Linked DNA regions of Macaca mulatta. The protein of the gene in region 3 binds, or shares a complex with, the protein of the main gene of each other region. Links are inferred from orthologs where the notes say so. Each region holds a gene or a part of one and is shown on either strand. Other genes may lie near its edges. The genes, in order: EXOSC2, EXOSC5, EXOSC9, EXOSC4, EXOSC3 and EXOSC6.

Evidence for each region.
Region 1: EXOSC9 (region 3) and EXOSC2 share a complex: the UniProt entries of both Homo sapiens proteins name them as parts of the RNA exosome core complex. The link is inferred for Macaca mulatta from reciprocal best matches to the Homo sapiens genes EXOSC9 and EXOSC2.
Region 2: EXOSC9 (region 3) and EXOSC5 share a complex: the UniProt entries of both Homo sapiens proteins name them as parts of the RNA exosome core complex. The link is inferred for Macaca mulatta from reciprocal best matches to the Homo sapiens genes EXOSC9 and EXOSC5.
Region 4: EXOSC9 (region 3) and EXOSC4 share a complex: the UniProt entries of both Homo sapiens proteins name them as parts of the RNA exosome core complex. The link is inferred for Macaca mulatta from reciprocal best matches to the Homo sapiens genes EXOSC9 and EXOSC4.
Region 5: EXOSC9 (region 3) and EXOSC3 share a complex: the UniProt entries of both Homo sapiens proteins name them as parts of the RNA exosome core complex. The link is inferred for Macaca mulatta from reciprocal best matches to the Homo sapiens genes EXOSC9 and EXOSC3.
Region 6: EXOSC9 (region 3) and EXOSC6 share a complex: the UniProt entries of both Homo sapiens proteins name them as parts of the RNA exosome core complex. The link is inferred for Macaca mulatta from reciprocal best matches to the Homo sapiens genes EXOSC9 and EXOSC6.

Annotation. Positions count from the first base shown.
Region 1 is NC_133420.1:16,884,093-16,888,416, forward strand, and holds part of EXOSC2 (exosome complex component RRP4), read right to left. Parts: coding exon 4,283-4,324; intron 2,307-4,282; coding exon 2,261-2,306; intron 1,725-2,260; coding exon 1,635-1,724; intron 593-1,634; coding exon 527-592; intron 1-526. UniProt on the Homo sapiens protein: Non-catalytic component of the RNA exosome complex which has 3'->5' exoribonuclease activity and participates in a multitude of cellular RNA processing and degradation events.
Region 2 is NC_133424.1:52,540,771-52,545,828, forward strand, and holds the start of EXOSC5 (exosome complex component RRP46), read right to left. Parts: upstream 3,192-5,058; 5' UTR 3,127-3,191; coding exon 2,979-3,126; intron 1-2,978. Other genes in the region: BCKDHA (2-oxoisovalerate dehydrogenase subunit alpha, mitochondrial), read left to right, coding at 3,624-3,731. UniProt on the Homo sapiens protein: Non-catalytic component of the RNA exosome complex which has 3'->5' exoribonuclease activity and participates in a multitude of cellular RNA processing and degradation events.
Region 3 is NC_133410.1:130,631,250-130,635,102, reverse strand, and holds the end of EXOSC9 (exosome complex component RRP45), read right to left. Parts: intron 1,662-3,853; coding exon 1,583-1,661; intron 1,572-1,582; exon of another isoform or gene 1,271-1,571; coding exon 1,186-1,270; 3' UTR 1,131-1,185; downstream 1-1,130. UniProt on the Homo sapiens protein: Non-catalytic component of the RNA exosome complex which has 3'->5' exoribonuclease activity and participates in a multitude of cellular RNA processing and degradation events.
Region 4 is NC_133413.1:154,461,031-154,465,575, reverse strand, and holds EXOSC4 (exosome complex component RRP41), read right to left. Parts: upstream 3,100-4,545; 5' UTR 2,981-3,099; coding exon 2,810-2,980; intron 1,775-2,809; coding exon 1,568-1,774; intron 1,477-1,567; coding exon 1,117-1,476; 3' UTR 1,075-1,116; downstream 1-1,074. UniProt on the Homo sapiens protein: Non-catalytic component of the RNA exosome complex which has 3'->5' exoribonuclease activity and participates in a multitude of cellular RNA processing and degradation events.
Region 5 is NC_133420.1:61,811,897-61,816,836, reverse strand, and holds the start of EXOSC3 (exosome complex component RRP40), read right to left. Parts: upstream 2,974-4,940; 5' UTR 2,966-2,973; coding exon 2,642-2,965; intron 2,078-2,641; exon of another isoform or gene 1,911-2,077; coding exon 1,761-1,910; intron 1,687-1,760; exon of another isoform or gene 1,365-1,686; intron 186-1,364; exon of another isoform or gene 1-185. UniProt on the Homo sapiens protein: Non-catalytic component of the RNA exosome complex which has 3'->5' exoribonuclease activity and participates in a multitude of cellular RNA processing and degradation events.
Region 6 is NC_133425.1:69,618,730-69,623,731, reverse strand, and holds EXOSC6 (exosome complex component MTR3), read right to left. Parts: upstream 3,378-5,002; 5' UTR 2,578-3,377; coding exon 1,759-2,577; 3' UTR 306-1,758; downstream 1-305. Other genes in the region: AARS1 (alanine--tRNA ligase, cytoplasmic), read right to left, coding at 3,409-3,594, 3,937-4,050, 4,383-4,469, 4,590-4,709. UniProt on the Homo sapiens protein: Non-catalytic component of the RNA exosome complex which has 3'->5' exoribonuclease activity and participates in a multitude of cellular RNA processing and degradation events.

The DNA.
Region 1 (4,324 bases), on a different chromosome or scaffold from region 3:
AGAGCTCACTGTAGCCTTGAGCTCCTGGGCTCAAGCAACCCTCCAGCCGCAGCCTCCTGAGTAGCTAGGCATGTGCCGCCATGCCCGGCTAATTTTTTATTTTTATTTTTTTGTAGAGAGGGGGTCTTGCTATGTTGCCCAGGCTGGTCTTGAACTCTTAGGCTCAAGCAATCCTCCCTCCTTGGCCTTCCAAAGCGCTGGGATTACAGGCATGAGCCACCACACTCGGCCTGTCATTAATATCTTGATGTGAACAACACCTCTTCCACTCCCTGGGCTAAAAGTTAACATCATTAACAAAAGCCTCAAGCACAGGCTACCATAAGTTACAAGACCCAAAGAAATGACTTAGCAGCAGGTCTGAACAAGAGCTGGGGAGTCAGCCTGAGTTAAGGAGACCGAGAAAGGACACAGCAGAGCCCGACACCTGGTCTAACGGTTCTTCCGTCAGAGACATACAATGGAAGGCCCATTTCCCAGCCCCACAGAAAAGCATGAAGAGGCTGCAGTGCAAAGCACAGGATACACTGATAAGGTCCCCTTCCTGTAAGAAACCTCTCATTGCAAGCTCATCTTCTGCAGATCTTCTCCTCTGAAATACACAAAGAAATGACATTACTGAAGCCAGGTCCTCAGAAAGGTCTCCATCACTTCTTTCTCTTTCACTTCCTTTTGAGATTTTTGAGGCCAACCACAATACTCAAACACTGAGAACTATGGCAAAAGTAGGTAACCCGAGCCACTTGAGGGGAATGAGTGATAATCACGACTTTCCATCGCAAGAGACTTTTCCATAGTCCTCTTCTCTTCCTCTTTCCCTCCCTTCCCTGAGGAGCATTCCAACCCCTCCCAATCTCACCCAGCCAACATTTCCACACTCATCTTCCATGACAGCTCTCTGTGGTCCAGCAGGACCAGACTAACTCCTGCTTGGATATATCTCTGCTCACACATTTCCCTTTATCTCAGATTCCCTGAACTAGTTATTTAAAGTCTCTCCATCCTGTCTTTCCTACGAGCTTCTCTCACTGGAATGAACCACTCCTTTTGTATAACCACAGCTTATTTATTCTTCTACTGCCAGATACTGGGTCAGTTATCTTATATCCCCTGCTGGGGAACTCAGTCGTGCTTGGCACTTGGCACAGAGCTTGGCACAGTAAGCCTCTCTGTAAATACATGCTGGACTGAAGATAAAGGTGAACCATGGTATTTTACAAAAGGCTGTGGCTTAGTTACTGTGGTTGTCTGGAATAACCAAATGCCTTTCAATTCACAAAAAACTAACGTAAAGACAGCTTTCCAAGGAACATCTTCACTGTGCAAAGCTGATACGTCCAGAAAAGGAAAGCTATTAACAAGCAGCATCTAAGAGCTTCTCTCCCCAACTCTCTGTTGGGATCCCACCCCATGGATGTTTCTGATCCTACCGTATGCCAACTGCTCCCTCTTTCGGGAGACCTGGACAGGGTGAAAAGTCTACATACACATCCAGACAGCAAACTTCACAGCAGACAAACGGGAGTCAAAGGGGTAACCTCAGTGTAAAGCAAAGTCCTCTGGTGGAACAAAGGGTCCCACAGCTCCCCCCAGCCCACTGGGCTCCAGTCCATGGCCCCAGCTGTAGCCCTTACCAGCTCTCCTCCAGGAAGGTTCATGGACGAGAGCAGCAAGACCGAATCCAGCCTGGAGTTGGTCTCCACCTTCCACCTCTTCTGTTGAACCTATAAGCCAAGTTCCACACCTGGACACATGCTCCAGGGACAGGAGTTCACATCATAAGTAACCAGTAAGGCTGGGTGCGGTGGTTCACGCCTGTAATCCCAGTACTTTGGGAGGCCGAGGTGGTGGCTCACTTAAGGTCAGGAGTTTGAGACCAGCCTGACCAATATGATGAAACCCCGTCTCTACTAAAAATACAAAAATTAGCCGGGCGTGGTAGCAGGTGCCTATAATCCCAGCTACTTAGGAGGCTGAGACAGGAGAATCGTTTGAACCCTGGAGGCGGAGGTTGTAACGAGCCAAGATCGCGCCACTGCACTCCAGCCTGGGCAACAGAGCGAGACTCCATCTCAAAAAAAGAAAAAGAAAGTAACCAGTAATCCCAAATCGAACAAGCCACATATTTACATCAGAGGCCACACAATAGCCAAATGCAACGAATGCCTTTTTCATGTAACTACAAGTGGAATGACTGTCCCATGAATACAATCGCCAGCCTGCCTCGACTTTGTAAACACCAATCTGATATCGACGTTACCTCTGTGATTCTTCCCACTACAATGTCTCCTACTTCACCAATGTATCTGAAAGATAAAACACAAGGGATTCGTGCATCTGTGAGCAGACTTTCTGACAAGACCACACACCATTTGAGATGTTGGTTTAACAGAGTGAAAGCCTTGAATAGGCGTCACATTCAGCAAATTCATGTAACTATATTGTCTGGACTTATTTTCAGAAATTGCTAACTTCAAACATTCCTCCATGTATAAAGTCTCCATTAACCTCAAACAAATCGCTATTCAAGTAGTTCATTTAGCCAAAAAAAACCCCCTATTTTGTTCAATTACATGACACTGAAAAACATGGACTATTTTCCTGTGGCACACGGATGAGTTCTGCACCAGCCAAAGGAAGAGAAAGGAAATCTGAGCCAGACGCCAACCGCATGAGTCTGCTCATGTCTCTCCCACTCACTCACTGCCTGCTCCTCTCAAGCCCCTTTGCTAGCTCCTCATCCACAATTCTAATGAGACGTACTCGGTGCTGAGGCCAAGTCCTTAGACCTCTTCGCTTTTCGGCCACTCAATCTAATACCATTAAAATACCACTCTGTGCTGTCACTGTGCCACTCTCCTGAATTCCAAATCCTTCTCAACTGCCAGCTACCCAACTCTGCCATTTAGATGACTAATAGGCATTTTCAAATGTATCGCGCCCAAAACTAAGCTTTCCCACAGCCCCCTCCAGTCCTCCGTAGCAAACCGAGGTAGGGGATGAGTTATCCCCATCTCAGTCAATGGTGACTCCATCCCCAGTTGCTCAGGCCAATAAACCTTGGAGAGTTCTTTGATTCCTCTCTCTCTCTCACACACTTCAGGACAAGTCCAGTAGCAAATCCTGCTGGCTCTACCCTTAAAACATATGCAGGAAATAAAAGGCATCCAAATTGGAAAGGAAGAAGTAAAATTATTTCTATTCACAGTTGACTGGGTCCTATGTACAGTAAAGTCCAAAGAATACAAAACCCAACACCTTTTCATGATTTCAAAAAAAACACTCAGAAAATAAAATCTATGTGGATCCCAATCACTCCTCCACCTTCCACTGCTACCACCTTAGTCGAAGCCACCATCACTTCAGATTATGAGTATGGTCCCTAATCCACCTCCCTAAGCTTGCTCTATCCCCCTTCAATCTCCCATCGGCAGCCACAGTGAGCTTAAGTCCAGATCAAGTCCCTCCTCTGCTCCACCCCTTCCAGGGGCTTCCCAGATTACACAAAGTAGAAGCCGAAATGCTTACTCTGGCTACAAGGCAGGCCTATGTCTGCCCACCTCAGCTTTCTGCTCATATCTGCCCCTACTCTCTCCCTCACTCACTCTGTTCTAACCTCACTGGCTTGCTTTCTGGGGCTAATCTTCATTGAATGCTTCTAGGTATCAGGCCCTGTGCTAAATACTTTACATGCACCATCTCACTGAATTCTAAAGAAAATCCTAGGCCAGCCGCAGTGGCTCACATCTGTAATCCCAGCACTTTGGGAGGCCAAGTGGGGGGGAAATCTTCTGAAGTCAGCAGTTCGAGACCCGCCTGGCCAACGTGGTAAAACCCTGTCTCTACTAAAAGTATAAAAAAATTAGCCAGGCGTGGTGGCGAGTGCCTGTAATCCCAGCTACTTGGGAGGCTGAGGCAGGAGAATCGTTTGAACCCGGGAGGCAGAGGTTGCAGCGTGCAGACTGTGCCACTGTACTCCAGCCTGGGCAACAGAGCGAGACTCCGTCTCAAAAAAAAAAAAGAAAATCCTGTGAAGTAGGCCATGCTATTATACTCACTTTGCAGAGGAGGTAACCAAGGCTTGGAGTGGTGACATAACATGGGAAAACCTCTGAAGCCTACACTGATCTGCACCACCCCACCTACAGTCATGGTCAAAACCTCAGACTTACAGCATGACAGGGCAGGCAGGGGTGGGGTAGGGGATATGGAGGGGGCAGAAAAAGCCTGGTTGTACAACCTGGATGCCGCAAGAAAGGGAATACACACCTTTTGTTCTCACCTGGTTTTCAAAGCTTTCACACAGATCAACTTGTTTACTCTC
Region 2 (5,058 bases), on a different chromosome or scaffold from region 3:
CCAACATGGTGAAACCCCATCTCTACTAAAAATACAAAAATTGGCTGGGCATGGTGGTGGGTGCCTGTAATCTCAGCTACTCGGGAGGCCGAGGCAGAATTGCTGGAACCGGGGAGGCGGAGGTTGCAGTGAGCCGAGATGGCACCATTCCACTCCAGCCTGGACAATAACAGCGAGACTCCGTCTCAAAAAAAAAAAAAAAAAAAAAAAAAAACCCAAAACATTTGAGGCCAGACATGGTGCCTCACACCTGTAATCCCAGCACTCTGGAGGCCCAGGTGGGAGGACTGCTCGAGGCCAGGAGTTTGAGACCTGCCTGAGCAACATAGCAAGACTCCTGTCTCTATTTTCTTTTTTGAGACAAAGTTTCCCTCTGTCACCCAGGAGGCTGGAGTGCAGTTGTGCAATCTCAGCTCACTGCAACCTCCGCCTCCCAGGCTCAAGTGATTCTCGTGCCTCAGCCTCCAGAGTAGCTGAGATTATAGGTGCGTGCCACCTTGTCCGACTAATTTTTGTATTTTTAGTAGAGACGGGTTTTCACCATGTTGGCCAGGCTGGTCTCAGAACTCCTGACCTCGACTGGGCGAGGTGGCTCACGCCTGTAATCCCAGCAATTTGGGAGGCCGAGGCGGGTGGATCACGAGGTCAGGAGTTCAAGATCAGTCTGGCCAACATGGTGAAACCCCGTCTCTACTAAAAACTACAAAAATTAGCTGGGCGTGGGAGCACACGCCTGTGGTCCTGGCTACTCGGGAGGCTGAGGCAGAAGAATCGCTGGAACCTGGGAGGTGGAGGTTGCAGTGAGCCACGATCGCTTCACTGCACTCTAGCCTGGGTGACAGGGCGAGACTCTGTGTCAAAAAAAAAAAAAGAATTACTGACCTCAGGTGATCTACCCTCATCGGCCTCCCAAGGTGCTTGGATTACCGGTGTGAGCAACCCATGTGAGCAACTGCGCCCGGCCCCTTCTTAATTCTTAGGTTCGAAGAAACTTGAGGTATCTCAATTCAGCATAAGTGCTAAGCCTGAGGGAGGGTCCGGGAAGGTCCCTGGTTAAGGCGGTATTTCCTGGGATGCCCAATTTGCCCTTACACGGAAGGTGTGCTTAGTTCCAGGAAAAACTGCCCTGAGGACTGGAGAAACCAAAATAGAACTCGCCTCTGGCTCCAGATGAACTGCCTGTGTTTCGCCTGAGCACAAGAGTCCCTCCCCTCTCACCTTCTTCAAGACGTGGCTCCAGCAATTCTCTCCCCTGTTGACCCCACAACCATCTTCAATTCCTGCCCCACTTATCTGATCCTCTTACAGCAAAACTCCTGAACAGCTGTCTATTCTTCCTTTCCTGTGACCCCACCACTCCACTGCGGCAGCTCAACATCGTCACCACTGACCTCCAAATGATCAACCCTCCATTGACCCGGCTGTCAGTAAGGCCGAAACAGCTGTCAGCCCTCACATCTCAGACACGCTCTTCTCTTGGCCCCAGGTCACCACCCTCTCCCGGTTTCCCCCTAAGTCTCTGGGCGTTCCTTCTGAGTCTCCTTTAGCTTGCTTGTCACAAGTCCCTGACTGCTCAAGTTGGAAGGCCTAGGGCTTGGTCCTGGGACCTCTTTTCCATCTACACTGACTTCGTTCAGTCAATAGGCTGAAATACCATATATACAGCCAGAGAGTTCCAAATTGCCTATGTCCAGCTTGGGTCTCTCTCCTGATTTCCAGACTTGTACAGATCTGGGCAGAAACCTTAGTTATGCCTGACTCTTTTTCCTCGCACTCAAACCAAACTATAGGTAAGTTTTGTCCGTTTTACTTTCAAACTACATCCAGAATCTCATCACCTCCACTACTCCTGTTCTGGCTGGAGCCACCATCACCTCCCTGTTTTCCCCCATACTCCCCACAATCAACACAGCAGCCAGATTTTGTTAAAATGTATTGGGGCTGGGCGTGGTGGCTGGTACCTATATGAGCACTTTGGGAGGAGGACTGCTTGAGTCCAGGAGTTCAAGACCAACCTGGGCAACATCGTGAGACCCTGTCTCAAAATTTTTTTTTTTTTTTTGAGACATTATCTTGTTTTGTCGTGCACACTGGAGTACAATGGCACAATCTTGGCTCACTGCAACTTCTGCCTCCTGGGTTCAAGAGATTCTCCTGCCTCAGCCTCCCCAGTAGCTGGGATTACAGGCGCCCACCACCATGCCTGGCTAATTTTTGTACTTTTAGTAGAGTCGGGGTTTCGCCATGTTGGCCAGGCTGGTCTCGAACTCCTGACCTCAGGTGATCCACCCGCCTTGGCCTCCCAAAGTGTGGGGATTACAGGCGTGAGCCACTGTGCCCAGCCTCCTGTCTCAAACGTTAAAGAGAAATATTCTTGGAGTTAATCTGGTTCTGAGAGTTATTTAGCTAGGGGAAGGGGATATTTGCCCTATAGGTAAGACTTGCCCTAATCTTAGGGATATTTACTCCTGTGGAGAGATGCAGTGAGGTAGCGGTGGGGATGTATTTTTCAACCCAGGGCAGTGACATTATCTTCAATTTGAGGAGTATTTACGTGGGTGAAAGATCCGCCACAGTCCAGAGTATGCAAATTGACAGGTTTGCGTCAGTCCGGGATGCAAGGACCTAGCGGGCGTGTGTGTGGGGCGGGCGGGGGCGGGGGTGAGGAGGAGGAACCTAGTTAAGGGCGATATTTACCCTGGTGAGGTGATTTTCCCTATTCTGAAATATCAATTCTTGCGGGGACGGTCTGCCCCGCCTGTCATTCTCAGACATATTTACAAAGATGGAGCTATCTTCTCCTTTCTAGTCGTGAGGGAGAGATGTATGTATCCCTGCGTATGTAGTAGTATTCAATCGGACAAGAAATCATGTATCAACGCAGGAGTGACATTTACCAGCTGGTATCATGGGGAGATGGGCACTCCGTTGCACGGTACATGGTAGTCCCTCTCCAAAAGACCTGGGTAAGTTCTTACCTTGCAGGAAGGAAGCAGAGCCATCTGGCCGCGACAGCAGGTTCTGTTCGCAGGCAAAGTGCCGGAGGCTGCAGCCGGGACCCCGAGGGCTGCACCCTGTTCCAATTTCAGCGCGGATTTTGGCGTCAGTATGCATCTCCTCCTCCATCGCGCCGACCCCACGTGCGGCTGCGATTATCACTTCCGCCCGGCAGCGCGCGCTGCGAACACTCTGCGTAACCATTGCGCACGCGCTGGGCTCGGCCGTCAGTCCTGGCGTCCGCACGTGGCTTAGCGTTTACCAACAATCTGGCTCCGCCCAGTCCCACCTCCTAACTCTGGCAACGCCATTGGACAGTTGAGAACAGGAGGCAGGCCTTGGCAGTGACCTGTTTTACTCTGGGCCCCCGGGCCCTAAATCCCTGAGGCCGTGGTCAGGTTGCCCTCTTCTTTGCCTGTTACAGGAGTAACTACAATGAGGCGACTGGGGAAAATTTTGGGTAGATAGGTTTTCTTCTCCAAATCTCTGTGCATTCTATCTACAACAGAATGGGAAGAAGGTGATTTTCTTGTCAGATGGTGCTGGAGTTTGTGTCAGGCACATAAAGGGGCAGCCCCGAATCTAGCCTACGTGAGTGCCCTACCGCTGAGTGGTTGCTAGCCAAGATGGCGGTAGCGATCGCTGCGGCGAGGGTCTGGCGGCCAAACCGAGGCCTGAGCCAGGCTGCCCTCTTGCTGCTGTGGCGGCCTGGGGCTCGGGGACTGGCTAGATCTGTGAGTACCTGGGCCCCAGGGGGTTTTCCCAAAGGGGATTAGGGATGTAAAGGCTATCTTCAGAGTGTGGGGTCCCTGAAGGATATGAAGGAAGGGCTGTCACAGAAGGGAAAAAGAGTGGGAGACCCCTTGGAGAAGACACCGAAGGGAAGATCTGCCACTTCCTTAGAAGAAAAGAACTTCCACTTCTTCAGGAGAGGACAAAACCCGTTTGCAACTTCTTTGTGGGCCCTGAGGAAGGGAGACGACTTGAAGAGAGGGATGGGAGTTCCTTATTTATTTATTTAGTTAGTTTTTGAGGCGGAGTCTGGAGTGCAGTGGCCGGATCTCAGCTCACTGCAAGCTCTGCCTCCCGGATTCACGCCGTTCTCCTGCCTCAGCCTCCCGAGTAGCTGGGACTACAGGCGCCCGCCGCCACCCCCGGCTAATTTTTTTTTTTTGCATTTTTAGTAGAGACGGGGTTTCACTGTGTTAGCCAGGATGGTCTCGATCTCCTGACCTCGTGATCCGCCCACCTCGGCCTCCCAAAGTGCTGGAATTACAGGCGTGAGCCAGCGCGCCCGGCCGGGGGTTCCTTATTAACTGCCACTCGTATTCAGGGGAGGTTCCTTGGAGGGACAGGGGAAGACCGCGAGACCTTTTCCCTCAGGCTTTGGAGAATGAAACTGACTTTATAAAGGAGAGACTTTCTTCTGGGCAAAGATCCCTCTTCAAGAAGAAGAAAGAAGAGAGCAAGTCCCCTTATCGCAGGCTGCATAGGGCCTTGTATTTCTTTGCTCCTTTGCCACAATTCTGATTTTAAAATGAATTGTGTAAAAATTTTGTTTGGTTCCTGTGTCTCCTGATCGAATATCAAGACAGGGAACTCGTGTGTTCTGGACACTGTACAGAGGAGATGATTAATATTTGTTGAGTTAATGAGGGGAAAAACGGAGGGACAGAGGTACAGATAGGGCACTTTGCCCACATTTCTTAGAAACACTTGAGAAGGCTTTGTTTCTTGTCAAAAGGGTCACAATCCCTTCAGGTGGATGCTGTCAAAATTACACTGCAAAAAACCTGGGTGGAAGCCTCTCTTTAGAGGGGGAGAGGCAAGGGGTTGCAGAAGAGCTTTGAACTACATTTGACAGATAGGAGAGTAGTGGTTACATGGGTGGGTTCATGTCCTTGCTCTGCCACTTTCCACTTGTGTATTGGGCAACGGACTGCACCTCTCTGGATCTATGGACCTAATTTCCCTCTCTAAAATATTAACAGTGGCCACCTCATAGGACTGTGAAAAATTAATATGTAAAATGCTAAGGACTGGACCTGGCACATCATAAGG
Region 3 (3,853 bases):
CACAGCATGCACAACAGTCAATAAGAGAAAAGTACAAAAATTCAAAGTAAGAATTAACTTGAATATGGAAGCTTACTTTTCTAGATTATGGTTCAGAGATCTTTGACATTTTAACTTCATTCATGAATCTGCCATAGCCTCCTTAAGAAGCTGTTCTCTTAATTGGTTATGTGTTTGAAGAAGGTTGCAGTTCATGCTTTCTGCCCTGGGTCTGGGGGAGGAGAGAGAAGGAAGAGGGGCATGCATGTGTGTTTCAGGGACCAATGTTTCTAACACCATCAACTCGGTCAGAGAGAAATAGCATTTTTTAGTTCCCAATACATGAGTACAAACATTATTCCATGATCTCCTTTACCCAGTGACTGTTTACTAAAAATGTTTTTGTTTTTTTTTTTCCTACTTACAGGTATCATGGTGTTTCTCTCCTCAACCCACCAGAGACACTAAATCTGTAACAATGAAAGACTGCCTTTGTTTTCTAAGATGTAAATCACTCAAAGTATATGGTGTACAGTTTTTAACTTAGGTTTTAATTTTACAATCATTTCTGAATACAGAAGTTATGGCCAAGTACAAATTATGGTATCTATTACTTTTTAAATGGTTTTAATTTGTATATCTTTTGTATATGTATCTGTCTTAGATATTTGGCTAATTTTAAGTGGTTTTGTTAAAGTATTAATGATGCCAGCTGTCAGGATAATAAATTGATTTGGAAAACTTCGCAAGTCAAATTTAACTTCTTCAGGATTTCAATTAAAAAAGTTTACTTGGTTTACTATATAATGAGAAGTGAAAACCTTCCTCTAAAATTAAAGTAGGTTTAGGAAAACAGACCCTCAAATTCTAACATTCATTTTCCTAAGCAACTGGATCAATTTGCTGATGGGCATAATCTAAGCATATCTGAATACAGACTTTTTCACTCTTTGTAAAACCTGTTTAGGTTCTGCAAACTAAACAGAGGCTGGGAGCGGAAGAGGGTGGGAAGCTTACGTGCAAATTAACAGACGAGAAATGCTCCAGAAGGTTTATTATTTTAAAGCATAACATTAAAAACAAAAAACTATTTTTAAAACCCTGCTAGATTTTATAATGGATTTGTGAATAAAAAATACCCAGGGTTCTTAGAATGGAATAAATATCCTTTTAATAGTTATATATACAAATATACAACTGTTAGCTTTAATTGGCAGCTCTCTTCTTTTTTCTTCTTTTCACTGGCTTTTTACTTGGTGCTTTTTCTTGTTTTGCACTGGTGGTCTGTGTTCTGTTAATAAAGTAAGAATTTACTAAGCGTATGCTTGTTAAGTTTTGGATTATTGAAATAAGAGGCATTTCTTAGTTTTCCAATAGGATATAAAATGTGTAAGACTGGCATCCAAAGAGTTCTATAGATTTTGGTCCTAATTTTTATAAATCACAAGGTAAAGAAATCACAGAACAGATGGATCGCTAATGAAAAAGGGACGTCTTTTTGTTTATAGTCGTGTGGCAAGATGAGAGTAAAACCAGAGAGCAAACCTCTAGAAGTGTTGAATATATATATATATACATTTGAAATAAACCAGAAACGTGTTACCTTATTTTCTTTGGATTCTTGTCTGGTTCCAAAATGATCATTTCTTCTTCTTCACTATCTGACAGTATTATGGGAGCATCTTTTTTTTTTTTAAAAAAAAAAAAAAAAAAAGGGTAAGCAATCTCTTGCAATATTTACTTCTGCACAAGTTTATTTCTATCAGACGTTCTAAAACTCTTACTGCTGGGGCTGGGGTTGGGCTGGGCGTGGTAGCTCACACTTTTAATCCCCGCATTTTAGTAGGCTGAGGTCATTTTGGTCACCTGAGGTCAGGAGCTCGAGTCCAGCCTGGCCAACATGGTGAAACACCATCTCTATTAAAAACAGAAAAATTAGCCAGTTGTGGTGGCATGTGCTTATAGGCCCAGCTACTCGTGAGGCTGAGGCATGAGAATCGCTTGAACCAGGGAGGTTGAGGTTGCAGTACCACTGTACTCCAGTCTGGGTGACAGAGGAAGACTCCATCCTAAAAAATAAATAAAAATAAGACTATTTGCATATAACAGCCCATGCCACTCTTTAGGTGGAGGCTTACTCTTCTCTTTAAATCAGCTTCTTAGAGCACTCTAGAACTTGTCTGTAACATTTGTTTCTTTAAACTCTTATTTCCTGCAAGTGCTCGAATGGCGTGACAATTTGGTACATGTCATAATAGAAAAGTTAGGGGGAAATCTATATATCATCTTTTGTAGAGACAATTGAATTGTTTGTGCTACTCTATTCCTCCAGAAATAGTTCCAGTTTACATTCCAATAAATAAAAACCCATTTCCCATATACCTTTGGCATTGCTGGTATTTTTAATACTGCCCAAAATACAGTAACAAAAAATGCCATGTCATTTTTCTTTGGATTTTATTTGTATTACTATCAGGGCTGACCATGAAAAATATTACTGGCCATTTGTATATTTTGAGTACTGCTCCCTGTCTTTTGCCTATTTTTCTCCTGATCATTAGTTAATGATATACATAAAACGTGAATTAACCCATATCAATTCTTTGTATTTTTAGTTTTCAGTTAGTTTCTCCCTTTCTTCACATGCTTTAGAAAGGCTGTACCTGCTCCATTTTTCCAATTCTTAGGTCCACCTTCATTATATTCAATTGAAAATACTATTCACTGTTAGAAGAATACACTAAACAAACATATAAGGTATATGCAAGTGCAAGGATATTGTTAACAGTGAAAAAATGGAAACAACTTACATCTTCAACAATAAGAGAATTGTTAAACCAACTAGTTATATTCAATGCTACATAAGTCTATGCAGCATTAGCTTATATCACTGCACAGAGAGTAAATAAATACCTGGGACAAGTATTTGGAAGAATTATACCAAATAGAAGTAACCACTGGGAAATATGAGTAAGGGTCCCAATCAATGGGAAATTTTTTCCTTCCCTATTAAGTAAAAAAACAAAAAGCTCAGGCTCTAGTAGTGTTCATAATTTCTCTCTTTGAAAACAGAAGTATTTGTTTTACATTCCTACTAAACATATCACCTTCAGTTTTCCCTGCCAGCCTAGTTCCCAGTTCCTTGTAGGATTTCTGTTCTTACCACATAAGAAAATAAGTCATTATTCTATTATCTAGACCAGCAAGAATTTGCTTTTTTTTTTTTTTTAAGTAAAAATAACCATACACAAAAACAACTTCTTCAGTTCTATGGCTTTCAAAATGCAAGCAACGTCTAGGACTATCAGTATTCTAGTCATTTCTAGAATTTTTTTATGTTCTAATACTGCAATGTCTAGTATGGTAGCCACTAGCTACATGTGGCTGCTTAATTTTGTATTAAATAAAATTAAAAATTCAGTTCTCAGTAATACAAACCACATTTCAAGTGTTCAGTAGCCACGTGGGGCTAGTGGCTGCTATACCAGTGTAATGTTTCTATCCCAGAAAGTTTTATTTAGACAGTATTACATGTTCCGATAAAGGATGGGCTTTTTGTTTCAGTCTAGAAACCACAAAAAAAGACAGCACGGAGGAATAAGATCTTCCAGAAACTCATTCCCTTAAAACCCACCCAAATACATTACAAAAAAAAATTTTTTTTAATTAAAAATGTCACTATCATTTTATGCCAAAGTGTACCACTACTCTACAAAGATATGCATATTCTTTTAGCAAGTCGTGTTAGTACTGCAGTTAGCCACAATAATTTAGTTGAAATTTAAATCACAATATTTAGCCCCTCTAAAAATGCAATACTTATATCCCTATATTTATATATCTATATTCTCTCTATATAGTATCCTGTATGTTA
Region 4 (4,545 bases), on a different chromosome or scaffold from region 3:
TCAACAAATAAATAGTGGTGGGCAGAGAGAAGGGTCAAAACTGAAGACTCCATGTGAGAACAATTTTTTTTTTTTTTTTTTTTGAGACAGAGTCTTGCTGTCATCCAGGCTGGAGTGCAGTGGTGCTATCTTGGCTAACTGTGACCTTCATCTCTGGTTCAAGTGATTCTCCTGCCCCAGCCTCCCTAGTAGCTGGGACTACAAGTACCTGCCACCACACTAATTTTTGTATTAGTAGAGATGGGGTTTCACCATGTTGGCCAGGCTGGTCTCGAACTCCTGACCTCAAGTGATCCATGAGAACAGGTAATTTTTGTACTTTTATTTTTTTTAGATGGAGTCTTGCTCTGTCGCCCAGGCTGCAGTGCAGTGGCACGATCTCGGCTCACTGCAACCTCCGCCTCCCCGGTTCAAGAGATTCTCCTGCCTCAGCCTCCTGAGTAACTCAGATTACAGGCATGTGCCACCACCCCCAGCTAATTTTGTATTTTTCGTAGAGACGGGGTTTCACCATGTTGGCCAGGATGGTCTCAAATTCCTGACCTGAAGCAATCCGCCTACCTCAGCCTCTCAAAGTTCTGGGATTACAGGTGTGAGCCACCATGCCTGGCTGTTGTATTTTTTAGAGCCCAAGGTAAGCAGCAGGAAAAGCCCAAGGGGCTCCAGGCCATAGTCCAGAGGCCATGGGACATGGCCCCCACATCTCTAGGTTGGGTACTCAGAGCCAGCTGAGTTCTCCCTCAGCCCTTTGCTCAGGGCCCTGGATGTGCCAGAGTAAGGGTAACAGATTCCTCAGTCCAATGACCTGGCTCATCTTGCCAGGCCCTGCCTCCTGCTCAGCTGCCTTGAGTCCTTACTGGGACATGTTGCTTTTTCCACCCAGGACCTCCCCCACAGCAACCCCCTAATCCACTGTTCTCTTCAGGGTTTGAATTAGGCTACACAGAGATAGGCAGTTCATGTGTGGGCGAGGGGCCCTGGTCATCCCCAGGAGCCAGCACCAGACCAGGCTCTGCCAGGCTTCACATGGCTCTGAAGTGCTGTTGGGTGATTAACGTACAGTGAGGGTTGTGTGGGCAGAGGAGGGTTTTATTCTGGACATGGGTGGCTGGGTGGTCAGTCCCCCAGCAAGATAGAGGCCTCACGCACATGCTGCCTGACCACTCTGTCCAAGAGGGTGTGCACATCTCGAGCAGCCTGGGCAGCAGCCTCCAACACCCGCTCCAGGTGGTCCTCGTGCAGCCGGGCATCCATCTCAAGCAGCGCAATCTGTCCTGAGGCTGGCAGCAGGGCCAGGGCCAGCTGGGGGCCACCAGCTGCCTCCTCCACATGGCTGAGGTCCGCCAGGGCTGTGCCGTCCACAAAGCCAGCTGAGCACGCACACACAAAGTCTCTCATGGGTATCCCAGCATCCAGCACTGCCAGTGTGGCTGCATTCACACAAGCTGCATAGGTCCCACCATCTGCCTGTAGCACCTGCAGGGACCCCAGGGTGTGAGTCTATCAGACTCTCTCCCCAACCCCATCACACCCACCCCTCCCTGGATTGACGCTGCAGCCGGCTCACCTGCACATAGATATCAATCTGGGAACGTGGGTGCAGCTGTGTGAGGATGGCTGCCTCGAAAGTCTGGCGGAGCTGCAGGCCCATCTCACAGGACTTCCGGTCCCCATGTGGCCGTCGCTTGCGCTCACCTGTGCTGAAGGTCGCTGAACTATATTGACAGTTCACTAGGGCCCTGTCCGGCAGGGCTCGAGCCCGGGAACCCCGGATCTGGAAGAGGACGGACACATGAGCCAGGCCCACTCCTTCCAGCTCACACGCCACTGTCCTCTGTGGGTCTGCCTCTCCCTCCACTTTCAATGCCTCAGCAAGGGGCAACTACATTACCTCCAAAACAAAGCCCCCTGTTTTGCACTCTCTGTCTTGCATGTGTTGCCCTCTGGCATCTTTTAATTGGCTTCCTTGTGCCCATCCTTGCCCCATTCCCTGCCAACCCAAGTTTACAAACATCAAGGCTGATTCTGTCTCACCTTCACACTCAAATCCTAATTACCTTACAAAGGTTTCACATTACATATGATATAAAATCCCAAATCATTTCCCTGGTCTACAAAACCCTAATTCCTCACCTCCCCGGGAACTCTCAACCTTATTTAGAGTTATCCCCTCTTTCCCCACCAGCAGTCTTTCTGTTATGCATAAGTGCCTTGCTTGTTTTCACCACCGTGGTCTTCGCCCTCCTGGTTCCCTCCGCCTGGAAAGCAGAGCTCCTACCCTCATGCGCTAAACAAACACTCTTTCAATACCTTCACTGGCCAGGCACAGTTACAGCGCTGGAAACACAGCAATGAAACCAGAGAGTTTTATGTAGTTTCTGTCCTTAGGAAGCTTATGTTCTAGCGAGGAAACGGGAAAATGCTTAAGCAAAATAGGCATTTGAGATTGTAGATGCACAAAAGACAAGGGTTTATTGTAGGGAGAGAAGTACCGCATGGATAAAGCCGTCTGGGAAGGAGTGACGTCGGAGTAGAGCTGAGAGGAGAGGGAGCGAGTGGGGGAGTGCCTGGCACGTTGAAGAGCCGCAAAGAGGAGGGAGAGCGCAGGCACAGAGACCGATGAGAAAGGCAGGACCACCGCGCAGCACACTAAAGACTTGCATTTACTCCGAGTGAGATGCAGTGCTGAGCATCGGCTGTGTAGACTGAGGCGCGCCGGCCGCACCTCTCAAGTCCCCGAACCTGTGCTCAGCCCGGCTGCCCCGCAGATCCCGCGGTCACGCGATTCCCATCCCGCACGCCCACTCGCCTCGTGCGGGCCGTAGACCACCGCCAGCGCCTTGGTGTTGCCCTGCTCGATGTAGGCCGAGCCGTCAGCCTGCGCGAACACGCCCATCCGAGCCTGGATCTTGCGCAGCTCCCCGGCGCGCCGACCGTCCACCCGGTAGCCCTGGTCCGACAAGAGCTCCAGCCCCGCCATGCTGCCCGGCCGCCAGCTCCGCTCTCTGCCTAGTTCTCTGATTCGCGGGAGAACTACAGCGCCCTGCGGCTCCGACCTCCCCGAATCTACGGTTTCCGGCGGTCCGCTATCACTTCCGGTTCCGGGGAGCTACAGCTCCCCGCGGTCCCGACCTCCCTGGATCTACGGTTTCCGGCGGTCCGCTGTCACTTCCGGTCCCGGGGAACTGGAGTTCCTCGCGGCACCGACCTCCCTGGATCTACGGTTTCTGGCGGTTCGGCTTCACTTCTGTCTCCGGGGAACTGCGGTGGCGCTGTCGGGGAAGCAGCGGTTGAGCCCGCAGCCGTTCCCGGAGCTGTGCCACGGGTGCCAGGAGGTGGGCGCCCGCCGAAGGAGAAATTCCCGTCACGCCCTCGGGACCAGTGGTGCCCACATTCAGCCCTTCCCCGCGCCCCAAGTGTGGAAGTGGAAGGATGAACCCAGTGGGTTGCGACACTGACAGGAGAAGGCATTGAGCGGTCCTAGAAAAGTGACCAGGCTGGTGTCCGAGGATGGTCCACACCTGGCACCTCTCCAGTCCTCTCATGCCCTCCCTTTACACCGAGCTTCCACACTGCAGTCGAGTGGGCCTCCCTTTTCCTTTTGAGGTTGCAGATTTCCTCATCCTTTCCAGAGAGGGGTTGTGTGTCTGTTTATCTCTTGCCACTTAACCTCAGCGGCTTCAAATAGCAATCATTCTATTATTATATCCTGCAGTCTTGGGTTATCTAGGCTCAGCTAGGTAGTTTGCACGTAGGCTCTCTCCTACAGTTGCTGCCAGATGGTGGCTGGGGCTGGAGCCATCCTAAAGCTTTCTCTTTCACATCTTTGGTGGCTGATGCTGGTGGCTGGCCAGGACCTCATCTGTGGCTGTCAGGCAGCACACCTACCTGTGGCTTCTCCATGCTTCCTTGCAATATGGCAGCTGGGTTCCAAGGGTAGCCTTCCAGGACAATGAGATGGACAACATGTGCATGATATTTTTAGAACCTAGCCTCAGAAGTCACATAGTGTCCCTCCTGCCAGACTCTGTGGGTCAAGGCAGTCAGACACATCTACCCAGGCTTAAGGGATGGGGACAGGGACCCCACCCTTCAGTGGGAGGAGTGTCAATATTAGACTGTAGGAACAGCAGGTGGGCTGGGGAAATGCAGTCTGCTGCAGGGGCCCAAGTTCAGCATCCCCTTAGAGGTGGTTATGCTCTCCTGAAAGACTGAGAGGCATGAGAATGAGTGAGCAAGCCACAGCCCTGCTGCTGCAGCTGGTATGAGGCCATGATAGGCCACTATCCTCTGCCACTGGCCACCACCGATTCCCCACCCTTGGCTCTGCAGCCAGACACTGCGTACTGTGGAGCAGCCCAGGCCCTTCTCCCCTTGCAGTCTGAGCTCTTCCTGTCCCTGTTCTTACTGGGTCATTTTGTTTGTTTGTTTTGTTTTTTTGAGATGGAGTCTCACTCTGTCACCCAGGCTGGAGTGCTGTGGCACAGTATCAGCGCACTGCTCCCTCCACCTCCTGGGTCCAAGTGATTCTTGTATCTCAGCCTC
Region 5 (4,940 bases), on a different chromosome or scaffold from region 3:
CAGCCACCTACAGTTCTGTGGCTAAGGGACTGACTGTACTACAGGATTCCCACAGTCACTTTGAAGTTGAGTCTTGGGGAAAAAAAGGAACACATGTATCATTCCCTTTCACCAACCAGGAAATCACAGACAAGGAGCCCATCTCAAGGCCAGAGAACACCTCTAGGATTGCACTGTCCAATATGGTAGGTAGCCAATTGTTTAAACTTATATTTAAATTAATTAAAATTAGATATTTAAAATTAATTTCCTGAGTTGCATTAGCCACATTTCAAGTGCTCAACAGCTATTTAAATTAAAATTAGATATTTAAAATTAATTTCCTGAGTTGCATTAGCCACATTTCAAGTGCTCAACTGCTACCATACTAATCAGTGCAGATACAAAACAGCATCACTGTAGAAAGTTATGTTAGGTGGCACTACCCTAGAGAATTACAATTTACAGAGAGGAACTCCGGCATGCAAATTATTCAAAGCAAAACAAAACAATAATTCACTGACACTTCTCCCTGCAAGATTTACTTAAAAACCTCATAGAGCTAAACCTTAAAGGGATGAAACTGAGGAAATGGAGAGTGAACTCAATTCTGTTCACTCAAAACATATTAAGTACCCACTGTTTGTTGGTGACTATGTAAACTAGAGAGGAACAAAACATTCTCTGCTTTTCAGAAGCATTTGGTCTTGGAGGGCAGTGGGGAGGTACATATAAACAAACCTCAGTCGAGGCTAAATCCATTAAGTGCTAGAGCAAAAATATGAGAAAAGTCACAACTGGGGATGGCTTTACAAAGGCGGTCGTGTTTAGCCTAGGTCTCAAAGGATGAGAATGTGTTCCACAGGCTGCGAAGGGATAGTGCAATCAAGACAGAGGGAACAGCATGTGTAAAGGAATAAGGGCAGGAAATTGAGTCTAATGGCGTTTGGTGTGATTAGAGTATGGCTGTATGAAGGATATAATTAGGGATGAGGAAAGACACCTGGAGTGTAATGCCAAGGAATTCTGTGGATTTTGGAGAATCTCGTTTTTCCTTTTCGAGAAAGTAACTGTGTTAGGATGTCAGCTCTCAAAACCCTGGATGGTGAGGTAAAAGCGTGGAGGCAAGGATTAATGAAGAAGTGACTGAGACCAGTCAAGACGGAGCTAAAGCCTGAACTTGCAAAGTGGAGATAAAGGGATAGACATGCCAAAAATCAGAGACAGAATCAAATAAGATTAAGCAAATAAATCTGCATGAGAAGTAAATGTGAAGAGGCAAAGACATCACTAGATTTCGGGCTGGATAGACAAGAAGCGTGTGGCTATGCTACCTGAAAAGCCCAACCTGAAAACCCAAGGTAACAGTATTACTCCTCTATCAGCTTCTAGGACCTACAGCCAGGATGGATGGATAGCTGATAATGTCAATTTGCACCACCTGTCACTCCTCTAAGCCTACAGCAGACATCCTTGTCCCGAGGATATGGACATAACAAATAATGGTGATGACAGATACAACCTTTCAACTCAGTAGAAATGAAACATCCCAAGAACAAATGTAGCCAATGTAAAATAAATTGTAAATGTTAAAAAAAAAAAAAAAATTATGTGGCTCTGATCCTGCAGCATCTGAAGAAACTCTTGGAGCCTGGGGCAATTATATACATGCTCAAAGATCTAGGTCATACTTCGGAGACAATTCAGGTAGCCTTCTGGATATCTGAGTGTTCTAGAGAAGGGATGTTTCTTACTTTGAAGCCAAAGGCTCCCATAATTACCTGCACATTTGGTCTGTTTCTTTTAGTTGCACCTTCAAATGACAAGTAAGACAAAGAAGCTGGCTCACTCCCTCCAACATCAACTTTGAATATATCTCCAGATTTAGCTGTCACTATGCCAATCACATGGTCTCCTTTCACTGGAACATACTACAAAAGGAAATAGAATGAGAAAACAGCCATAAATGAGAAGATACCATTGGAAGATACCTTCAGCACGTCCTTCGTGGTTACTTTATTGTCATTAAAGAGAAAGAAATCTGATCATATGCCACTTTCGGTAAAAGAAAATCACATCATAAAGTGTCAGGTGTGCAGCTTCTGGTAGTCTGTTAATTGAGTCCAAACCCCATTATCTCTTCAGCACCCCAACCAGTAAGTTCCTAGCTTTGTGGCATAAGTTCAGTGGCAAAGGAATCCTTACAACCAAGGAAGCCCATTCCATAGTTAGACAATTTTTTTCCGTATGAAAGAAAATTATACAGAAAAATTATACAGAAAAATTTTTCTGTATAAAAATTTTCTTACCTGTTCTAGGAGAAATTAACTCCCTATGACATCCACTCATTGAGCCTGGTCTTGCCCTCTGAGACTTGAATGGGCAAGCCTGCTGCTCCCTGACGTTTGGAGTTTTGAAGACTTTATAATCATGACTCACGGTCTCCAAACGTTTTTCTCTCCTGGTCGCCCTTCTCAGGCTATGTTCCTATTGTTCACGGTCCCTCTAAAGGACATGCAGAAGTGGGCACAAGACTACGGTGGCTCTAGGTTTGCCTGAACAAGAGGGCCTCAGGATCTCATCCCTTTTTCTTTTGGGAGGTCTTCTCAAACCAGGGCTATCACTCTCACGGCCGCACCACCCCTCCGCAGTCCCAGCTCACCCGCTTCTGCTGAGAGTCCACCCAGTAAACACCGCCGCCGCTGCCACTGCCGGGCTCCTTGTGACGGAGGCGGCCGCACTTGGTGACCAGCAGGCGGTCCCCACAGCGCCGCAAGCCCGGGCCGCATACAACGCGCACCCGCGAGCGCGCTCCAGCATTCAGGCTCAACGGTCGCTCCCCAGCACCGCCAGGGCCTTCCGCGTCCTCCTGTTCCGGCAGGAGCAGCTCCTCACCCGGCAGCACCACCTGACCTAGTACTGTGCGTGCAGCGCGCGCCCTGCTGCCCGCGAGATATTCAGCCGCAACAGACACAGGTTCGGCCATCGCGTGCGCCACCAAACACCGTTTCCGGTACTCTCCTTCCGCTTCCGCTCTGCTTCCAACACCCGCCCTTGAGGACTTTCCGTTTCCGGCAGTAGCGGTCCGTTAGATTTGGACCAGTTTATAAGCAGCTTAATGGCTGTCAGCTCACGGGTCCTTGTCCAAGGTGGCTGTGATTGTGTCTGTAGCCGACCACCTGTCTTACAGCCTGGCCGCGGGTCGGTATGAGAACTGCGCAGCTTGATCCATCAAGAAGCCTCCACTTTCAGTGTCTCGGGTCCCGTGTTTTGTGACCGGTCGCATCGTGGGGATACGAGATGCTCCCACTTAGAGTTTCCTGGGATCTCTGGAAGCTGAGCAGAGGGGCTTTGAAAACTGGACGCTGGGGCCGGGTGCAGTGGCTCACGCCTGTAATCCCAGCAGTTTGGGAGGCCAAGGCGGGTGGATCATTTGAGGTCAGGAGTTCAAGACCAGCCTGGCCACCATGGTGAAACCCTGTCTCTACTAAAAATACAAAAATTAGTCGGGCGTGATGGCATGCACCTGTAATCCCAGCTACTCGGGAGGCTGAGGCAGGAGATCACTTGAACCTAGGAGGCGGAGGTTGCAGTGAGCCGAGATGGCGCCACTGCACTCCAGTATGGAAGACAGAGCGAGACTCTGTTAAACAAACAAAAAAAAAAAAAACAAAAAAAACAAACAAAAGGAAATCGGACGCTAGGTGGGCTTCTGGACCCTTCTTTCCGACTCTGCCCTCAGAAGAGTGGCTCACCTTTTAACAGGGAAAGTATATTTTTTCAAAATAAATAAAACCTTCTTGGTTGTTAGAGATCTAGTCACATTTAGAAAACACAGACAAAAATAAAATAAGGAAATAAATGATGTTTTATTCTTACCCGTTTTTCTCCCTTGCTACGTGGTAGTTCTGATTCTTTAGAGCCCAAGGTGTGGCATGAAATAGGTAATGCCTGATGAATGAACGAATGTATTCCTTTGGTGTGTATTTCTCCCTAGACTTTTTCCTCCTGCAAATATACATATTTCACATGCTTGCGATAGTCCTGCATGGCCTGGAATATAAGTAACTCAAATTTCCCTGGAGCACACTTAGTTGCCCAGGTGAGAAGCAGTTGAATTCCAAATCCATAGAGCTTCCAATCATCTGACTTTTGAGGTTCTTATTTGAAATCACCGTTTCCTCTGTCAACTGGAACCTTCAATTAGTGCTTGATCAGATTCTCCAGCAGTGGTAGAGTTCCCAGGGTCTGGGAGGCCATGACTGACTGATGGCCTTTAACTGCCCTCCCTTTCTGCTGCTCACCTCTTTGAGGCACCTGCTTCCAATGTTATATATATAAAAAATATATGAAATATATAACATATAAATATATAACATATAAATATATATAATATATAAATATATTTTTTTAGACAGAGTCTTGCTCTGTCACCCAGGCTGGACTGCAGTGGCACCATCTCAGCTGACTGCAACCTCTGCCTCCCAGGTTCAAGCGATTCTCCTACCTCAGGCTCCCGAGTAGCTAGGATTACAGGAGTGCACCACCACACCTGGCTAATTTTTGTATTTTTAGTAGAGACAGCGCTTCACCATGCTGGCCAGGCTGGTCTTGAACGCCTGACCTCAAGTGATCGGCCCACTTTGGCCTCCCAAAGTACTGGGATTACAGGCATCAGCAACCATGCCCAGCCAAATTTTTAGATTTTTCAGGATGATTAAGACAGATCATTTTTAACACACCCTCCAAATTTGGCAAACTATTTTCCCCTGGGTATAATAAAAGGCCAACAATATATATAAACAATATAAGCTATTTTATATAGCTATATAATAGCTATATAAATATTTTTATAGCTATATATTTTATATATAATGTAAAATATTATATAAAATATATATTATATAAAATATAATATTTTATATTTATAAATATAAACTATTTTCCCATGGGTATAATAA
Region 6 (5,002 bases), on a different chromosome or scaffold from region 3:
CCCACCCCCACCCCCACCCCCACCCCCACCCCCACCCCACCCCTCAGAGGGCACCCTCAGCCTTGTCTGAATGCAGACACAGCTGATCTTCACTCCCCTCCCGATGTACCGCCAGTCAACAGATAGCCAACAGCTCTCCCTGAGTTTCCAATCTCCCTGAAACTGCTGGAATGTTCTCAGTGTGTACCCCACACAGCCCTCTTTGGGCTCCATCTACTCTAGGAAGTCACACTTCAGAATTACATTATGTCCTCTCCCCACTGGTGTGATACTATTTCAGACCTGCTCTAGAAAGACACGTTATGTCAGAAGGGAAAAAATAAAATTTGTATTTTTCCTGGTCAGGGGTTCTGGGTGTGGCCCCAGAAACTCATTCTGGTCCTTGGGCTGACCCAGGCCGGCCCTTCCTAGAGAAGCTGAGTGCAGAGAGGGGACCAGGCCGCCTTCCAAATGGCAGTCACCTAGCTTCCTACCATGCAGTCTTGAGCCCAAACCAGCAGAGCTGGTAGCGACACAGGAAAGACCCCACCTCGTGGTGAGTCAGTCAGGTTGTACCTGGCCTTCCTAGCAGTGCACCTGCCCTCTGCGGTGCTGCTCAGGGTCTTCCTTGTAGGACCAGGGTGCCACTTCTCATCAGCCGTGGAGGCTCGGGTTGTGCCATTCTGCACATGGCCAAGGACAGATGGCTTCTACCCAGAGCAAAACCCTTTTCAGCTACCCAGCACCAAGCCAGGTTGGGGCACGAGGTGCACTCAGCGCACTTCTGGGGCCGTACTTTTTTTCCTGAGACGGAGTCTTGCTCTTGTTGCCCAGGCTGGAGTGCAATGGTGCGATCTCCACTCACCGCAACCTCCACCTCCCGGGTTCAAGCGATTCTCCTGCCTCAGCCTCCCGAGTAGCTAAGATTACAGGCATATGCCACCATTATTAGTGCTGGCTAATTTTGTATTTTTAGTAGAGACGGGGTTTCTCCATGTTGGTCAGGCTGATCTCGAACTTCCGACCTCAGGTGATCTCCCTGCCTTGGCCTCCCAAAGTGCTGGGATTACAGGTGTGAGCCGCCGCGCCCGGCCAACTCTCCCTACTCTCGTCGTATCTCAGCAGTTCCCCTAACTCTGGTTCGTGTGGGTGCAGCTGCTCTCCAAATCACAGCGCTCCCATCAGGCTCTGGAGCTCTTTTCAGCCCGTCTCTCCTGTTCACGTGGGCCTAAGGAACAGAACCCGTTTAAGGCAATGCCGCCGCGACCCTTGACACCTGGGATGCAAGAACAAAAGAGCCTTGCTCTCTTAAATCCCGGACCAAGAAGAACCACACCATAAGACGTTTTTCAAATATAAAAGGGTCTTTCTTTTGGCTCAGACACAGAAGGCACAGTCGTCTTGTCCATCCTCTGAAAAGTCGCCCAGTTATATCGGAGGGGGTCACTGGCTGGCCTGAATGACAGCAGCTCTAGGTACCAGCTTCCAGGTAAGTCCAGCTAAAGTTTCCAACTTGGGAGTCAGGATGCGCTCACAGGTTTCCTCAACTGGGTCGAAGCTAAGAGCCGGCTCAAGTAAAGTTCCTTTAACGAGGTTTGTAAAAACCCTTTCCAACACCACAGCTGTCCGGCGCCTTGGCTCTGCTAGGGCCTACCCAGGTGCTCTCCAGGGCTCCGGCTGCTTATCTCGACGCAGGCTGGAGGCCGACGGCGCGGGTCTTTTCGGGGACGGCGGCAGCACGGTCCTCGGCTTGCGTCCGTCGTTGCTCAGGCTTCTAGTTCAGGGCTGGGCGGCGGCGCCCCTGCGGCGCGCCGCCCGCACCAGGCTCTGCTGCAGCACGGGGTAGAGGCGCTGGCAGCCCTCGAGGCCCAGGCGTACGGCCTCCGCCCAGCTCTCGATCAGGCCGCCCTCGCCGCTGCCCAGCAGCCCGGCCACCTGATTCAGCACAGGCATGAGCGCCACGGTGAGGCCGGCGGCGGCGCGCTCTTCCTCTAGCCGCGTGGGGTCCAGCAGCCAAGTGGGCGCGGGCCCCGGCGCGAGGCTCAGGCCACAGCCCACCACCAGATCGTACATCTCAACGCCCGCGTCGGCCAGGGCGAGCGCGGCGGCGGTGAGCGCGGCGGCCAGGGCCGAGCCGCCGTCCTCCAGCAGCAACGCCGACACCTCGAGTTGCGCGCGCGGGTAGCGGCCCAGGCGCACGGCCGGCTCCAGTGCCTCCTGCAGCGCCAGCGCCAGCTCACGCTCCTCGCCGCCGCCCGGGGGAGCGCGGCGCCGGCGGCCCGCGAAGGGCGCGCGGCGGAAGTCGCACAGCAGGCGACCGCGCAGCGCGGCCGGGGCTTCGCCGCCAGATCCGGCCGGGCCGCCGCCGCGCTCGCCTCCCTCGGCCTGTCGCGGGCCCGACACTGCACACAGCACCTTTGTGCCTCCCGCCTCCAGGTAGGCCGAGCCTTTGGCCTGGCTCAGCAGCCCGGCGCGCGCATACACGGGCCGCAGTCGCGTTGGGTCGCGGGCGGCGGGCGCCTCCTCCTCGTCGGCCGCGTACAGCTGCGGCGGCTGCGACTCTTCAGGGCCGCGGATGCGGCGGTGGTCCCCGGGCATGGCGGCTCCTGGCGTGAGAGCCGCTTCCGCCCAACGCACTGCCGCACCCACTGGTTCTTCCGTTGCTTAAAGACGCGCGCCTGCGTGAGGGTTGTCGGGAGAGTGACGGGCGGCGCTACAGCGCCTGCTGGAGGCTCGGAGGGAGAACGGCCGGCGTCCCTGGCGCCCTGGTCCCACTTGTGCAGGGCTGCCTGATCCATCCCTCCTGCTGGAAGGGAGCGGGAGAGCAGCTCCAAGGCTTCTCTGCTTCCACTAACCCCACCCATCTACTGAATTATGAACGCCTTGCTCCATGTCACCCTATTTGGCCTCAACCTCCACAAACGTTTGAGGCAACCCCAGGGGCTTTTCCCAAAATTTAGGGTTCTGGGGCTGGACTAGGTGAACACTACAGCAGCCAGTATAAGCCACAGCATTTATTCTACAGACAGCAGGGGCCAAGGGCTGTCAAAACAGCGAGCTCCACCTGGGAAGAGGGATAGAGATCATATAGCATTAAGTATTGCACGTGGTCCTTTTATTCTCTGCAGCAAAAAACGATTCGTCCTTGCTGACGCGGAAAGCTCAGGCTGGAAAGCTGTTATCTACAGATGCGAGTGTGGTGATCAACAGCAATGCGGGGGTAGTGGTTCTCGACAGATGGCACTGACGTGGAGGGCTCAGGGCAGAAGTATAAGGGGCGCTGAGTCACAGGACTGCTCGTGAGGGTATTCCAGGTACAGCCGGGGTAGGAGGGGCTCTCAAAAGGTCCCAGGATTCAAATGTTCTTGTAGCAGATCAAGAGCTCCCGGCTGGACGGATGGAGCCAGTAGAAGCCACCTCCTCCCCCGCTCAGTTCTTTACATCCCCGAGGCGCAGCTGGGCGAAGGAAGTGGCCAGCTGCAGCGCCTCCTGCAGGCAGCCAATGTTTTTGCCTGTGGCCTGTGCAGACACATCCTTGCCCCCACCTTTACCGTCCATCAGGCCTGACACCTGCTGTACCCACTCGCTGGCTTTTAAGCCCCGATTGGCTGCATTCTAGAAGAAAGAAAGGGAAGGGGGAAGTCAGGACAGAAAATGGGATTGAGGGAGGAGCCATCACCCACTCCTTTGCCCTGGGTGATACTGCTGGAGGCAGAGACAGACTTTACGGCTAGTGCAGGGGGCAGTCATGGCCCCTGCCAGGACAGGACAGAGTGGCAAAGCCAAGTATCAACCAGACAGATGCAACCAGTGAGGAGGCCTGGGTAAGAGGTACTGGCAAAGGTGACCAACAGGCAGGCAGGAGACAGGCTCTTTTAAATGCAGGTTGTACACACACAGGCCTCAGCAAACAAGCTTAAGACCCAACACTTCCCACTGGTGCAAGGTGGTTCTGACCTGAGGGACTTGACACAGGCAAGTGATCTTGCCAGCCTCGTTGTCCACTGTGAAGAGCATGGCAGACGTCTGAGGGGAGTGTGTCTTGAAGAGCTTCAAGGCTTCATTCAGGGCCTGTGGGGAGGACCTGGCTCAGACCATGGTGCTGGAGCAGGGACCCTCACTAGTGTGAGCAGTTGCAGCCCTCAGAAGGACCGCCACCCACCCCCACCCCTTCCCAGAGCAGATGTAGTCCTCAGGGCCTGGGTGGAGGACCCCAGTGTAGGGCCCTGCCCACACCCTGGCCCAGGTGTGCCTCCCACATGCAGGGAGCTGCTGCTCCTCCCAACCTTAATCCCAGACAGTGGGCCCTTAGGCAACCACTTGGCTCAGAGCCACAGAGGTCACATATCAGCCACCAAAGGGCTGATGTGCCCCAGGGGAGGGGGCCCCGGCCCCTGGGTTGCCTTGGCTGAGGCACCGCTCTCCATCTCCAGGATGACGAGGGGCTGGTTGGGGTTGCTGTCGATAAGCTGCTTTGTCTTCTCTAACACCTGCAAGAAAAAAGTCCAGAAGAGCAGCTCAGACCAAAAGCACAAGCCGCAAACCCCTGGCTGTATCCTGCCGGCCTTTGCCTAGGAAACACTCTGGCCACCGGTGCTGCCCGGACTCACTCGTTTCTGGACATCGGCTTTGCTGGCTCGGTCTAGGTCATCCATGACCTTCTTTAGGGATTTGAGAGTCTCCCGCAATTCGTCCTTCTGCCACTGGGGGATGACTGCAGTGGCCAGGGCCTGGAACGAGAACCAGAAGACCATCTGAATCTGGGCCACAACTTGCTGGGATGTCAGGGTCAAGCCCACCCCACCTGAACCCAAGTCCTCCCTGACTAGTGTCCTGGAAAGGAAAGCAAAAACACAAAGCTGTCTTCTGGCTTTGAGACCAGTCCCTTCTGGAGCAGCTGCGGCAGGTAAAACAAGGAGGGCTAGAGAGAAAGGAACAGTAGAAAGCTGGGCTCCAAGTCAGGCCTAGTCCTTACCAGGCTGGGAACAGCCTGTGATGAGCTTCCTGGCAGCTTAAAATGCAA